Struthio camelus: one gene and its partner. The protein of the gene in region 2 interacts with the protein of the main gene of each other region in a biochemical or structural test. Links are inferred from orthologs where the notes say so. Each region holds a gene or a part of one and is shown on either strand. Other genes may lie near its edges.

Region 1 (7,938 bases), on a different chromosome or scaffold from region 2:
AATACAATTAGAGATTCAGATGCAAGAAAACAATTCATGTCATTGCTGCAAAAATTCTTCACCTTTGAGGTAGGTGTTCTGCTTAAAAAAAAGTAAATGAAATGATTCTGAAAAGGACTTCTTACAAGTCTTTTGCTATTGTTGCAGTACATTGCTGTTAAAACCACTAACTTTCCTTGTCTAATCATTCCAATTTAAAAAAAAAAAAAAAAAAACACACACCTACAACACCCTGGCCTGCCACATTGCTATTTTCTGAAGAACCTGTCTTAAAGGTTTGCAAGCGTCTACACCAAATTTCTGTGAGGCAGTCCATTGGCATCAGTGGTATGTTCCTTCAGAGAGGAAGGAGAAATAAAAGTGTTCTATCAAGTACAAGAACTTTGGGATTCCAGGATCTTATGGAGCTTTGAAGCGTTCATCTGAAACTCTTGCTACCTCTAAATAAGCATCTTATGCTATATATACACCATATATATATATGACATATATAGGTCCCTCTCAGTAATTGATCCTGTAGATAGAAGACACAGTAAGTAAAGAAATCTGATGATCATATCTATTTTGCCAGGTAAACATGGTGCTTCTCTTGCACCACAGCACCCATGGCAGGTACTTAGACCAAAAAAAAAAAAAAAAAAAAAGATCACTCACAAAATAATCTGCATTCTTTCCAGACTTGTAGAACAAGCATGTAGCCTAGCAGAATAGTTGGCAACACCACAAAACACTTCAAAAACTGCAAAAGACAATAGACAAAAGGGATACACGGTGCAGGCTGTATACTGTTCCAGTGCTCCGTCACCCTCACAGTAAAGAAGTTAGTAGTTAAAGTTAGAAGAACTTAGTTAGTAAAGAAGCCCAGAGGTGAGGTCCAGAGGAGAAGAATAAAGAAAAACCTAAATATAGAATAAATATTAATTATATAAATAATAAATATAAAGAAAGAAGAATATAGAAAAGCCTAAAATACAATCCACTTTGCAGCACTGTCTCTCTTGGCAGTAGCATGCTCTCTCACTACAAGTGAGGTAGAGAAAGGCAGCCTCAATGCTTTAAATAGCGATACTGTCTCTGCTTGCTTTTCCCTTACCTTAAACACTGGTAAATTTAGTTGGCTGGAAACAGATAGTTTAATAGTTATATTCACCAAGAAGAAAATCAGGGCTGTTGTCCTTCAAATTTTACTACTTCTTGCAGTTCTTCTGCAACACTGCAGTATCTACTGTCCTCCTCAGCATAAAAACAGGAGCCAGTATCTACCAGAAAACAGTATGAGTCTTCATTTTCAAAGACAGTTTCTAGCTGTCATAATGGCAAAGAAAAGCTTGAGAAGCCTAAGATAAACATATCCAAAACGGTCAAATAGTTCAAAAAGCAAAAGACTGCTAAAGCCAGTACTTCTCAAAGTCTCATAACTAGGTCAACAAAGACTGCAGAAAGTATATTGGCAAGAAATATTGTCAATAACACCAGCATGAGTTCATTTGCAAAAATGGAATTTATCAATAGAATCTCATCTAGCTCCTTCCACATTGCGTTTATCTCCAAATTAAAAATTATCTCGTGCATTTCTTTACCACCCATGTTCCTCAATGTATTGGGGTCAGCATGTCCCTCTCAGGGCTAGGAGCTTCAATACACTGAAAACAAAACAGGGCCAAACATTATAAAGCTCATCATCAGTCCTTAAGGCAAATTAAACATATACTAGGTGTCTTCTCTCACATGTTCAACTTGGAGAAGACAAAATTTTATTCTCATATTGACCACAATGCAGCTTCTGTCGTTGCCACACTACCAGGCTTGCAAATCAGGAGCCAAAGATTAAGACACAAGAAATAAAGTAGGAAGTAAAAATGGATTTATTATCTTCCAGCATAAATTTATACCGTGCAGTTTCTAGATTTTTCACTAAATTAACAGGAAGCAAGAATTTAGAACTCTTTAGAGTTCTAAAGTGGTAAGAACACATGTATGCTATATAACTACTTTCAGTATACTATCTAACTACATCTAAGAAAGGACTCTTCCAGTTTAAGTTTATCCATGTAATTAAAGAAGAATAGTTTTGTGTATGAAGACCACAGTGCTATTTTTAAAGCAAAAGCTCAGGGGTTCACATCACTGCTTAAACTCAGAAGCAAAAACTTTTTCTTGCCCTGAGAAAGACTCATATTCTAAATATCCCAAAACATGACCGATTACTAAGAATGGTTATTCCAAACAGCAACGCATACACTGGGGGAAAGAAACTCGGTTTTGCCTCTTCCCACTCCCTGATTTGCAACTGCAAGTATGCAACTCCCACCCCCACAAACACCTCTCTACCAGCAAGACAGAAGGGCACTTTCTAACGCAGGAAGACGTGAACTGCTTCTACTGGTTTCTCCCTTAGACCTGAACTATGAAATAGCACGCAGACTTTAAGGCCGAAAAGGGCCGCTCTCTAGCTCCAGGCTCACTCACTCCCCGTTAAAGTTTTCCTCTTCTAACTCAAGTCAGCGCTCGCATCCCCCGAGGGTCGCTCGGACGCGTACTCAGGACGACGATTTCGGGAGCGCTACCGCGCGCTAGCAGTTACCCGGTGCGGAGCACCGCCGCGGCCCGCGGCGGCAGCCGGGCCGCCCCTCCGCGGCCCAGAGCCCGCTACAACGACGGGACGCCGCGCAGCCGCCGCGCCCCCATTGTCCCCGCGCCCCAGCCCGCCGAGGGGCCGAGCGGGGCCCGCGCCGCCGCCGCCGCCGGCCCTGCCCGCGCACCACGCCCCCTCCCAGCGCCCAGGGCTCCGCTCCCGCCGGGCCCCGCGCCGGGCCAAGGCCGCGCCCGGCCGCCTCCCCCCCGCCCCGTACCGACGGTACCGCCGCGCTCGCTTCCGGGAGGGGCAGGAGCGGCACGCGAGGGTCGTTACCTTTTGGGCGCTGCCTGCTCCATGATGGTGCCGCCGGCTCCCGGCGCCCCCGCCGCCGCCCGGCGCGGCTCGCGGACGGCCCTGGCCAGCGGCGGGCTGGGCCCGCGGAACTCCGCGCAACTTTCCGCCAAACTCGCTGGCCCTTTAAGTGGGGCTCGCGCCCTCCCTCGGCCGCGGCCGCTCCCGGCTTCTCAGCCAAACGCCACTACCGCTGCCTACCCGCCTGCCGGTGGGGGCCCGCCCTCTCGCCCCTCTCATTGGTTACAAACCGTACCATAACAAATGCTGATTGGCTGGGAAGGAAGTCACCCAGCATGGCAGCCAGCAGGAGACCGAGACTCCGCCCACCACGGGGCCGGGGAGGGAGGGTGCGCCTCACGGGAAGTAGCGGGCGGCATGGCGCCCGCGGGAGGGGGGAACCGACATGCAGGCGGCGGCGCATGCCGGCCCGAGGCCCCGCGCTCCCGGCATGCTCCGCGCGGCGGTGCCCCGCGGGGCGCGCCGGGAGACGTAGTCTTCCCCACGGCCTCCGCGGAGGGGCGGCAGGAGGGGCCGGCCCGGCCCGACCAGGCCAAACCGAGAGCCGGGCCGGAAAGCCGGGGGGCGAGGGACGGCCGTGTCCCCCCCACCCCAGCGCAGTCGCCTCACCGCCCGGCTCCGGGCAGCCGGCAGCCTGTGCTTTTCTTCCTCATCTGCGCAAGCGGACAGGGTTGCGGCCGAGGGGCAGCCGCAGGCCGGCGCGAAGCTGCTTCCACCCCCCCCCCCTCAGGAAGTTATATCCTTTCTTCTATGGGCAAGCGGCTCCCGAGCAGAGGGGGCAGGAAGGCCGTAGTCAGTCCCGCAGGGAGCGGGAGCCGCTTTCCGAGGCTGGCTCCCGGCTCACAGCACGGCTTGGAGATGAGTAACGCTGGCAGTCGACTGTTTTTAATGCCGAAGCATATGAGTTATCCTACGAAACTGTAGGAAGCAATTATGTAATTATTCAAGAGGGTTTAGGCTGCTGAGTACTGTGTGACAGTTATCTGCAATCTCTCCCCATTACAGCTTTAAATCTCATGCTGTTTACATCGTGAGTTCAGATGCTAACTTGCAGAGCATCCAAGTAGACCCAGTCAAGTCAATACAAGAAAAGCTTAAACGTTCAAGCCAGTTCCTGTATTAATGGAAGTAAAAAACTTGGGTAAGATCTGTAAAGGTACTGGGATATTCTAGCTTCACTTTAAGCAGATTTTAGATGCATAACAAAAATAAAACAGAAAAACCACACACTAGTTTCATCTCAATGTGCATTAGCAAGGAAATTTTAAGTGACTCAAGTCCCAGTGCTACCAAAACCCACCATTTTGCCCGAGTCAGTCCAATCCAGTTGACTCACTACAGTCAGGATACATGCACAGTGGCAAGATTAAATGAACCCATAAAACAAAGCACATGCCACCATATAACCTTTGCAGTTTGTTTGTTTTTTTAAATAAGTTAAAACTGCAATAGTACATTTTCCTTTACACAGCAGGTTAATGCAGAGCTCTTCAAATATCAGTTTATAAGCCCGAGTGGCCCACCAGCAGTACTTCCAAATATGTCCATACGACAGACAACTGTTTGCAGGAGACACCAAAAATGCACACAGGAACCAGCGGATACCTCAAACTCAGTACAGTACAAGTGTATTAGAAAATGGTGGGGAGGAACCCTGCAGGACTTCCACTCTCCCGTTTCTAGGTCAAGAGAGGATAGGTAGATACGTGGCTAGTTTCCAGCTTTGTTTTACAGGCTATTTGGCTATACCCACCTGACCAATTTTTTATTATTTACATTTCACCAGTTTCACCCAGTGAAGGGTAGCCTGACACCCCGTTTGGTTATGACACACCTGGAATGCAGGGACTGTCTCCACATCCTTTAATACACATCTTTAAGACAATATTTTGTTCTGACTATTTCGGAGAAGGCAGGATTTTTCCAGCCCCCCTTCCCTCTCAAGCCACAGTCATACAAAAATACGGTTACTATGTGGTAGTGGTCAGAGCAAGACACAAAGAAAGCGAGCCAACAGGTGTTCCACGTCACAGCCACACTTGTAGCTCTTTTTCTGGAAAAAGTTAAGCTGAACAGCCTAATCTTCCACTCCCCCTTCAACAGCAGTTGAAAGGAACAGGTCTAAAGAAAACTTCACAGATTCACAGAATGGTTGGGGTCAGAAGAGACCTCTGGAGATCATCTGACCCACCTGCTCAAGCAGGGTCACCTAAAGCACATTGCCCAGGACCATGTCTAGTCAGGTTTTGACTAGCTCCGAGGCTGGAGACTCCACAGCCTCCCTGGGCAACTTGCTCCTGTGTTCAACCACCCTCACACTGAAAAAGTTTCTTCTTATGTTTAAGTGGATTTTTCCAGTTTGTGCCCATTGCTTCTAGTCCTGTCACTGGGCACCAAGGAGAAGAGCCTGACCCTGTCCTCTTAACACCCTCCCCTTCAGATACTTATACACATTGATGAGATGCCCCCTGAGCCTTCTCTTCTGCAGGCTGAACAGGCCTAGTTCTCTCAGCCTCTCCTCATACAAGAGATACTCCAATTCCTTCCTCAGCTCCACGGCCCTTTGTTGGACTTGCTCCAGTAGCTCCATGTCTTTCTTGCACTGGGGAACCCAGAACTGGACATAGCACTGCAGAAGTGGTCTCATCAGTGCTGAGTAGATGGGAAGGATCACCTCCCTCAACCTGCTGACAATGCTCTGCCTAATGCAGCCCAGGAGGCTGTTGGCCTTCTTTGATGCAAGAGGAACCCCAGGTCCTTCTCTGCCAAGCAGCTTTCCAGCCAGTTGGCCCCAGCATGTACTGGTGAATGGGGTTATTCCTCCCTAGGGGCAGGACTTCACACTTCCCTTTGTTGAACTTCATGAGGTCCCTCTCTGCCCATTTCTCTAACCTACTGAGGTCTCTTAATGGGTGCATTCAGTCGGTCATCCAGGTCGTTAATGAAGAGGCTAAACAGTATCGGATCTAGTGTCAACCCCGGGGGGTCACCAGCAGGGACTGATCTTCAGCTGGACTTTGTGATGCTGATCACAACCCTCTGAGTCTGGCAGCTTGGCCAGTTTTCAGTCCACCTCACTGTCTACTTACCTGGCCCATACTTCTTCAGCTTTTCTGTGAGGTGTTATGGGAGACAGCTTTAGAGAGGTTTTTGACACCGAGATAAACAACATCCATTGGTCTCCCCTCACCCACCAAGGCAGTCATCTTGCCACAGAGGACTATCCAGTTGGTTAAGCACAATGCCCCCTTCATAAATCTCTTGTCCAAGGGATTTACTTGTCCAGCTTGTCCAAGAAAAGCAGATTTAGAGGTTAGCACCTCCAAGTGATTTACTACCGCAGTCTCCACTTCTACAAAATACCCTGTCCACCAGATAATTGAGGAAGAAGGGAACAGGAGCATCCTCCATCTCTACTGCTGAAGACAGAACAGTTTGAAGGAAGCCAAGATGACTAGAAAATAAATAGAAAAAGTGAGATAACCTGGCTTTATAGGCTAGTGAGGAGGGCAGTGCCAAAAAATATGGACTAGTTCCATGCCTTTCTCACTTGAACAAGGCACAACTGAAACTTCTGCAACTGCCAGAATGCTTTCATGCTGAAAATAAAATGTCAATAGGAAAACAGCATAGATGCTGTAGTATTTTTCAAGATGATTTTATTAATCTCTTGTCCTTCCAAATGGTATTTTTAGCCTGGAATAAATAACATCATCTCACCTTTCCCCTGCAATGTCAATTTGGGAACCTTGCTGTGAAATATAATACTGATTCAGTATTTATTACAATACTGTACCTAGCCACTAGCAAAGGAATTTTGAAAGGGAAAACAATCTCCTACTGTCTAATTCAGGCTTTCTAATAAAGGCAAGTCTAGATGTTCTGGAGGCATGAATATACTATTAGATTGCTTGTGTCTAGACAACATGGAGATGAGGCAGTTGCAGACATTCTGCCCTAGTATTCCCATGATTTCTTCCAAGAGTGGAACTATACTTGCTCACCTTCTTGGTGGTGTTGTAAGAAAAGGTTTGATGCAGAATTTACTAAGAATTTACTAAAATTCTTAAGACTGGATAAAAACTTACTGAATTACTCTTCTTCCTTTTAAGTAGCTCATCCACTTCACCATTTTACCAGCATGCATTCACTTCTCTGCAGAACTGGCATCAACATCAAGTACAGTTCCTTAGACAAAAGGATGAATGAAGACCGTACTTAGTATTTGAGTGCTCTAATTATTTTGTATTAAAATGTAATTTCGTAAGCAAATAGAAGAATTTATATTACAACAACTATAATTATTTATACTGCAATAGAATCAGGAATCATTATGGCCTGGAGAAGTATCGGTGCTGTATAACCACTAAGTCCAAGCCCCTAAATATAGGTACGAACAAATTCCAAAACGTCAATCCTACCTCAGTTAAGACAGAATTCATAATAAAGCACAAACTGAGAAGGACAAAAGTTACTATCTGCAAAGATCATGTCTGAATTTCTAGGAGGTATTACTAATAACAAAATATAAATTCCAAATGTGTACTTTACAAACATTCATAAACATCACATAAATAAGATGTGTTATATTAGGGACCTCGTACAGCTTCTTTGACAGCAAATAGAATAAACATCCACTTCAGAAGGTATCAGGTCAGGCTCATTTACACATCGTGCATTTTAACAAATAGGTTGGTGTTTTCTAGGAAACACCAGACTTAAATCTATAGGAAAACATTTACTCTTAAGTCATGAGCACCTTATGCTCTTCATCAAACAAAATATCCCAGCTCTTCATCACATGCCTGGTGCTTCTCGCAGCCCTGCCCCCTTCTCCACGTGCTTTCTGCCCCTTGGCTACCATAGCCTCCCAGGTCCCTCTCGGCTCCTCTGTGCTCCCTCCCTTTCCCCTATTTCTTCCTACAACAGTCCCACTCGTGCCCCCACACTGAACCCCACGATACCCTTAGTGCCCTCCGCTACCCCGC
Region 2 (6,545 bases):
AAAGCAATCACATACAAAACCCTGAAGTTTATTTGTCTGCTTGTTTTTTAATGATTTTTTTTTAATTCCCTGAAAGGCAGGGTGGTCCTGTGATCAGCTCAATGCATTTGTACTCCAAGAACTTAGAACTGGGTATCTGTTGTGCCACAGCCTTCTTATGAAATTGTATGCAAACTGTTGCACAAGTTCTTTGCATCTTGGATTCTTGGAGCTGCCATAAAACTATCCCATTTCATCTCATCTGGGAAATTCAGATTTTAAGTTCTTTAGAGAGGGGTCATTTCTTCTAAGCTGCTTATATTCCTCTTAGCACAGTGGGACTTGCATATCCATAGGGGTCCATACGTTTTGAATGACAGATGAATAACAAACAGGAACAATTTGGGGAAATGTACTTTTTCCAGCTTTTCAGGGATTTTGTCTAACCCAAATAAAGACCTTTTTCTGAACAACGCGAGCATGAATTAAACAGCACAGACTAAGAAAAAGGCCATGCATTAGAGTGTGTTCATCACTCTCACTCTGCTTCCCTACTCAGGTTTCAAAAAACTCAGGAAGTTGGGGTGAAAAAATACAAGAGACAAGGTAAGCAGTGAAAACACGTGAAAGCACTAAACTGAATTGGCAGGCAAAGCAGTCAAATTTTAGGATAGAAAGCTCACACTTACTAGGAAGCCAATGAAACAAGCACCCCCTCACTTGGTCAGGAAGCAAAGCTCTCAGTCATTTGCTCAGTCATTAGCTGACTCACTTCTCCCCTCTGGCAGTTTCACATATTCAGACTCCAGCAACACCTCTGGGACATGCCAAATTGTTTAGCCTTTCCTACCACCTTATTTCAGCCTCTCTTCATGCCCTGTAGTTCTGTCTTTCACAGGAGCTCGCTGGTTCGTACTGAAACTAAAACTCTGCAGAATCCTCAGGTATCTGACACCCTGCACGCTCCCGCTCAGGCAGAGTAATTCCCTAACGAAATCACATCCCTGCTGTGTGACGAGTTTTGTTAGGGCCTTCAGCTGGAATGGGATAATGCAAAGGACCTGCTGTTTCCTTGCTGCTCTTATGCAAACTTATTTTCAGCCAGATTGTGTATATGATTAGATCCACTAAAACGGGATCACTTTATTCTAAACAGAGACAATGGATATATCACAATTCAGTTACACAGCCGAAAACCTGGGACTTAGGACAAGTCTGTAAGTGTGGCAATGAAAGTAGAATAGATAAGATACACATATCCAAACTTGTGCTTTAATATTCAGGGACTTACAGGACTCATGAGTGAAGTCTTTGGGCATTCGAGCAGGTAAAAATAGAGCAACAATGTCTTTTGATCCTTCTTCTGTTTCTGCTCCAGTATGGACCTCTGAGTATTCCACTCTCTGCAAAATTGCTCTACCCGTTCATTAATTTTGTGCATCTGAGAAAAACTTCTAAGGGAAAGCAGAGAAGGAGGAATAAATTCCACATTTAGGTCTGAAGCAGGATTATTCAATACAAGAGTGAGCGCAGCTGCCATGTCGACACACCTAGACCTCCCCTGCTCTCTGCTTCCAGATAATGTAACTTAGGGCACACGCTGCCTAAAGCCTGCATCTGTGCTCATTCTTAGATTCATGACTGTTCACCAGCTTCAGCAGAAATTCTCCATCTTTGGCTCCCTTTCCTATCAGCTATTCAGTTTTCTCACTAGCAGCTGCTTATGGTTATGGAAAGAAATTTCTTCTCACTGGAAGCAAGGCCTGGACAGAAACACTTTTTTGTACTTCAAATGCAGTGAGAGGCAGCACAGAAAGCAGAGCACCGGTGTGGTATGTTCCTTCCTGTCTGCACACACTGGAACCATTTTAGTACAATGAAATGCAAGATTTTAAAAGACTGCTAAGGCACTGAGGTGCCAACTTCTTCACTACACTACTTGAGAGCAATTCACACGGTTGCTGGGTGAAGAAACAGAGCAATAAGATCACACTTTTCTTTCTGCGGTGACAGAATGGGCAAGTGCTAAGAAGCAGATTACTGAGCAGAGCCATAGCAGTGCTTGGAAGAGCTGGTCCCTGTACTGAGCACATTTCCCATCTCTGAAATCAGACGCAGTACTGTAAGCAAATCCCTGAACTTGTCTGCACAGATGCAGAGGTCTGCCCGTGAGGAGCAGCTGTTTCCAGACCGTTCCAGTGTGGGCTCAAGTCCTCTCTCCGAGTTCAGAGGTCTTGCTCATAAACTCTTCCAAGCAAGGATCTCGTCTTCTCTGCACAATTAAATGCGCAGCGCCACATGGGGGAGCTGGTGCTGTGACTAAAGCCCTTCGCTTCCCCACCAGGAGAGAAAGACAGCTCAGCAGCACTAGCAACTTCAGCCACTGGAAACGATTCTGAAAGGCTGGTTGAAAATCATAACATATAAATACATAGTGAGCACACATTTTAATAGCGATGTTCCTTTTCAAAATTATATTCTGTTTGCTGAATCTTGAGGGCATCTTCGGTGTTGCAGAGCACTTTTTACTGTGATTATGCGTTCACAAGCCTAAATTTATTTTCAAATAAAAACTGAGGTTCTCCTATAATCAGAAAATTCTAGGAACAGAAAAATTAGTTGCAGCAGGAAATAGTGCAAGACTGGAAATAAAAGTATGGAGGTGACAGTTACTGATTCTGCCTTGAAAAAGCAGCCAAACCCAGTAACACATGAACCTTAGCAACTTCGGGTTGCTCTTAGCTTGATAGATTGAATAAAATGCAACTACTATATTAAAAAGGCACAAGCAAAACAAACTGAGTAATGGGGATCAGTCGTAACCATTTACTGAGATGACTTACGTAGTTAACAACCAGTCTTCAGATAACTTTACTCCTTGCTGAGCCATGTTTGGCTGTGAAACCATCTTGACAGCTGAAGTAATAGCAGGTATGCAAGCAAACCAAAAAGCAGGTAAGGCGCCTCATCTTATTCAGCAAATAGATGGACCTGAAGTCTATTTGAAAACCATTAAAATCATGATCATGCTGTAGAGACAAAACCAATGTTAAAAGTCATTTCCCAGGTTACTCAGAAAATAAGCAGTTTGGTAACCTGGAGATATGAAAAACGTCAATCTAAACCCAAAGAAATAGTTTGAAAGCAGTTTGTAAGTATGAAGAAGGTAACTGACCTGACAGAAGATTGGCCATCTGAAAAGGGAAACGGGACAGAGATGGTCCACTCCTGAGCTGCGGGCTTCCTGAGGGGTAGTCAAAGTCCCCTCACAAAGCATCCTGCTGCCTTGTGCGCCTCGGCATCTTCCAGTTCGGGCAGTTTAGACCAAAGAAAGTGAGGAATAAGCAGCACGCTGCTATGACAGAGTGGAGAGGCAGGTTCACAAACACCTGTCGGCAGGGGGTTCGCACCCCGCTCTTTTTGCAGGTCTGGCTGTACACCTGAACTGTATAGCAGGGCGGCAGCTTTCCCTCCGGCAGGCAAAGACGTCTCCTCACAGACATTTCATAGTGAAGGACACAGAAAAACAGCACCGCTCCCCAGTTTCGGGGCTCCCACGTAGCTGAGTGTCCCAAGGACGCGAGACGTGGCGGGGCCGGCAAAGAGGGGGACGGGCTGCCCCTCCTGAGCTCACCCTGCTCCTTCCTGAAGGCGCTGGCCTGAAACGCGCGGGGACGGGGGAGTCGGGAGAGGAAAACGTGCCAAAAGAGGCGAGATGCCTCGGCAGCGTGGAGAACCTGGCAGGACAGCTGCTCTGACAAACAAGCCCTGGCTAAGGGGGCTGACAGCAGGAGGCAGCGCGACCTGAGCGGGGCAGCGAAATCACGGCCAGAGGAGCCCTTCCCCGCTCGCAGCCCCCCGCCCCCCTCCCGGCCGGGGGGCCGGAGGGCCGGGGGGCCGCGGAGCCGGGGCGGTGCCGCCGCGGCCGCATAAGAGGCGCGGGGCGGCGCAGCGCGGCGCTGCCGGCGGGAGCGCGGAGCTTGCGCGGAGCATGCAGGCGACGGCGGCGCCCGGGGGCCCGGCCCCCTCCCGGCCCTTCAAGCTGCGGAAGAGCTTCGGTAAGGGGAGAGCTGGGGGCGCCGGGGGGCCTGCGCGGGGCGCTGGGGGCTGCGCACACGCGTAACGCTCGTTTTCTCTCTTGCGCAGCGACTAGGCTGGAAGAAGTCGCTGGGATCCGGGCGAAGTTCCCAACAAAAATCCCGGTAAATCTCTCTGTTTTGCTAGCAAAGGTTGTTGTTGGTTTTTTTTTTTTTAAGAGAAATGCTGAAAACTTTTTTTTTTCTTAAATGCTGGTAGGGAGGAGGGGGAAAAGGAACTAAATATTTTAGGGATTTTTCTGAGTGTGACTCTAATTAAAACAGGTGATTGTTGAAAGGTACCATAAGGAAAAATACCTTCCTCTCTTGGACAAAACCAAGTTTCTTGTTCCTGAGGAGCTGACCATGACACAGTTTATAACCATCATTAGGTAAGTTGTGAACACCTGGCTAGCAAGTGGCACTACGTAGGTGGGGCTGGGGGCTGCTCCTGGGTTCTGTGGCAGGTCTTCAAGCAGATTTTTTTAGCACTCTGCTGTAAAAAAACTTATTTACTTTCTTTGTATTGGAGGAAAGCATAAAGGTCTCTGTAATGGCTTCCTTCTCCTGCAGGAGTATGAAGAAAGTCCACAGATATTTTCTCAGGTGGATTTGGGGAAGAACCTGGTCTATGCTTTTGGATGTATAAAGCCTTCCCTCTTAACTGTAGGGCATAAGGATTGTATCAGACTCCTGTTTTGCTCTGTCTCTATTTGAAGAACTTACAAGTGCTACTACAGCTCTATGGTTCTGTTCTCCTCCTTGCTCTGTTGTTGGCTTGCTTTTTTTTTTACTGTAGCTTACTGGATTTGCTCAAGCTTATAACAGTTCACAGGTGTGAGCGGCATGAGCTCTAATGTTTCTAAATTGCTCTTCACAAAAACACTATAGGGAAGAAATCTCTGTCTCTGGCAAAGTGCTGAAAATCACATAGCTTTTATATGGTGTTTCTGTAAAGTACAGAAGAGCTTTCTAGATATCTGAACTTCTACAAAAGATGCACAACTTGGGGTCCTGATCCTCATATTAAGCAGCTCTGAGGAGGACTCCTCTTTCAAAGACTGAAATGTTAAAATAGCTAGGATTTCAGAGTATGCTGAAATATTTCATTATAGCAATGCTACAGAAGCTTTTGGTTTCCACTCAGTGCTTCTCTTCAGTAACTGGGAACAAAGGCTAGACTCAGTAGCAGTCATGGTTTAACAATTTGATTTAAGCCTCCTCCTCCTCAGAGCATAAGCCTTCTAGCTTCCAAACCTACAGCTAACTTCCTGCTGATGAGAGATGTTAAACCACAAAGGACTTTATACAGTGTTTCTTAGATGTAGTTCATGTTACTGGTCTGTGTAATGTATTTCAAGGACTAACAATGAAACCTTCTCGAATTTGCTAATACTTAATCCTCTTTTTCCTTCTTCCATCTTAACTTAGAAGCAGAATGGCTTTAACTGCTACACAAGCTTTCTACCTGCTGGTGAACAACAAAAGCCTAGCCAGTATGTCTCTGACAATGGCAGAAGTGTACAGGGACTACAAAGATGAAGATGGCTTTGTGTATATGACATATGCTTCCCAGGAGATGTTTGGATGCCTCTTACCCGCTGCTCAAGGGAAAACTATGGAATGCCTTCAAAAAACCTAAGGTGGTGGTGTCCACTTGCTGTGGCTAAGCAGCTGTGCTATGAATCACGCCAGTGACATGAAGCTTGGAGATGCTCCTTCTAATACGAGTTCTTGAGCTCTGTACTGGGGAGTAATGACCCAGAGATCAGCAGGACCAGCTTGAGGCAGAAATGGTGGTACACTCTACTAGATAATAGTTTGGATATATATTTTATATTTAAAGACACTAAAGGTTTTTGAAACTGCACCTCCACTTTTCTTTGCAATACCAACCTTTGTTTTGTAACTGCTTTTTAAGATGTCCTTAAAGCCTAAGCCTAAGAGTAAAATAAAGACACTTTTAAATATTGGGTTGAATGTTAGTGTTACTCTAGAGGAAAAACTGTAGAAGACTACCAGAATTATTCTATGAACTTTAATCTTTTGAGCTCGGTGCCCCTTAAAAATGAAGGATTGCTTGTACAGCAACTCTGTGCATTTCTGAATGGGACAGTGAAGCTTAAGTTTGGTCACATAGGAGCAGAACCATATTTATAAACAGTTCAAGCTTGGTATCTGACCTGCAAGTAGAAAGCAGACTCTACTAGTGCTAAAGCAGAGTTCAAACGCAGTGTAGTTTAATACCTAGTAAACTACTACTGTCATGTGTTATTGAAACTGCTGTGATTGTCTATGATAAAGTAACTTCTGGTTTAAATATGCAAAACTGATTGGTAGTCAGTATAACCAAAATGCAGATAGCATGACTTGAACTCTAGTGTAATCAACTGTTCAAGAGTCTGCTCTTACTACTGAATTCTGCTAGTCTGGTCTAAATAGATGGGTAGTCTGTCCTTCCCTTAGAGGCACACCTGTGTCTTCCTCTGA

Evidence for each region. The genes of interacting proteins can lie anywhere in the genome.
Region 1: the proteins of MAP1LC3C (region 2) and STK3 form a complex in vitro, tested with the Homo sapiens proteins (2 studies listed by BioGRID and IntAct). The link is inferred for Struthio camelus from reciprocal best matches to the Homo sapiens genes MAP1LC3C and STK3.

What each region holds. Positions count from the first base shown.
Region 1 is NC_090943.1:147,187,439-147,195,376, reverse strand, and holds the start of STK3 (serine/threonine-protein kinase 3), read right to left. Parts: upstream 3,080-7,938; 5' UTR 2,935-3,079; coding exon 2,912-2,934; intron 2,872-2,911; exon of another isoform or gene 2,853-2,871; intron 2,691-2,852; exon of another isoform or gene 2,585-2,690; intron 2,428-2,584; exon of another isoform or gene 1,094-2,427; intron 1-1,093. UniProt on the Homo sapiens protein: Stress-activated, pro-apoptotic kinase which, following caspase-cleavage, enters the nucleus and induces chromatin condensation followed by internucleosomal DNA fragmentation.
Region 2 is NC_090944.1:97,616,973-97,623,517, reverse strand, and holds MAP1LC3C (microtubule-associated proteins 1A/1B light chain 3C), read left to right. Parts: upstream 1-3,897; 5' UTR 3,898-3,970; coding exon 3,971-4,037; intron 4,038-4,125; coding exon 4,126-4,181; intron 4,182-4,340; coding exon 4,341-4,447; intron 4,448-5,486; coding exon 5,487-5,697; 3' UTR 5,698-6,029; downstream 6,030-6,545.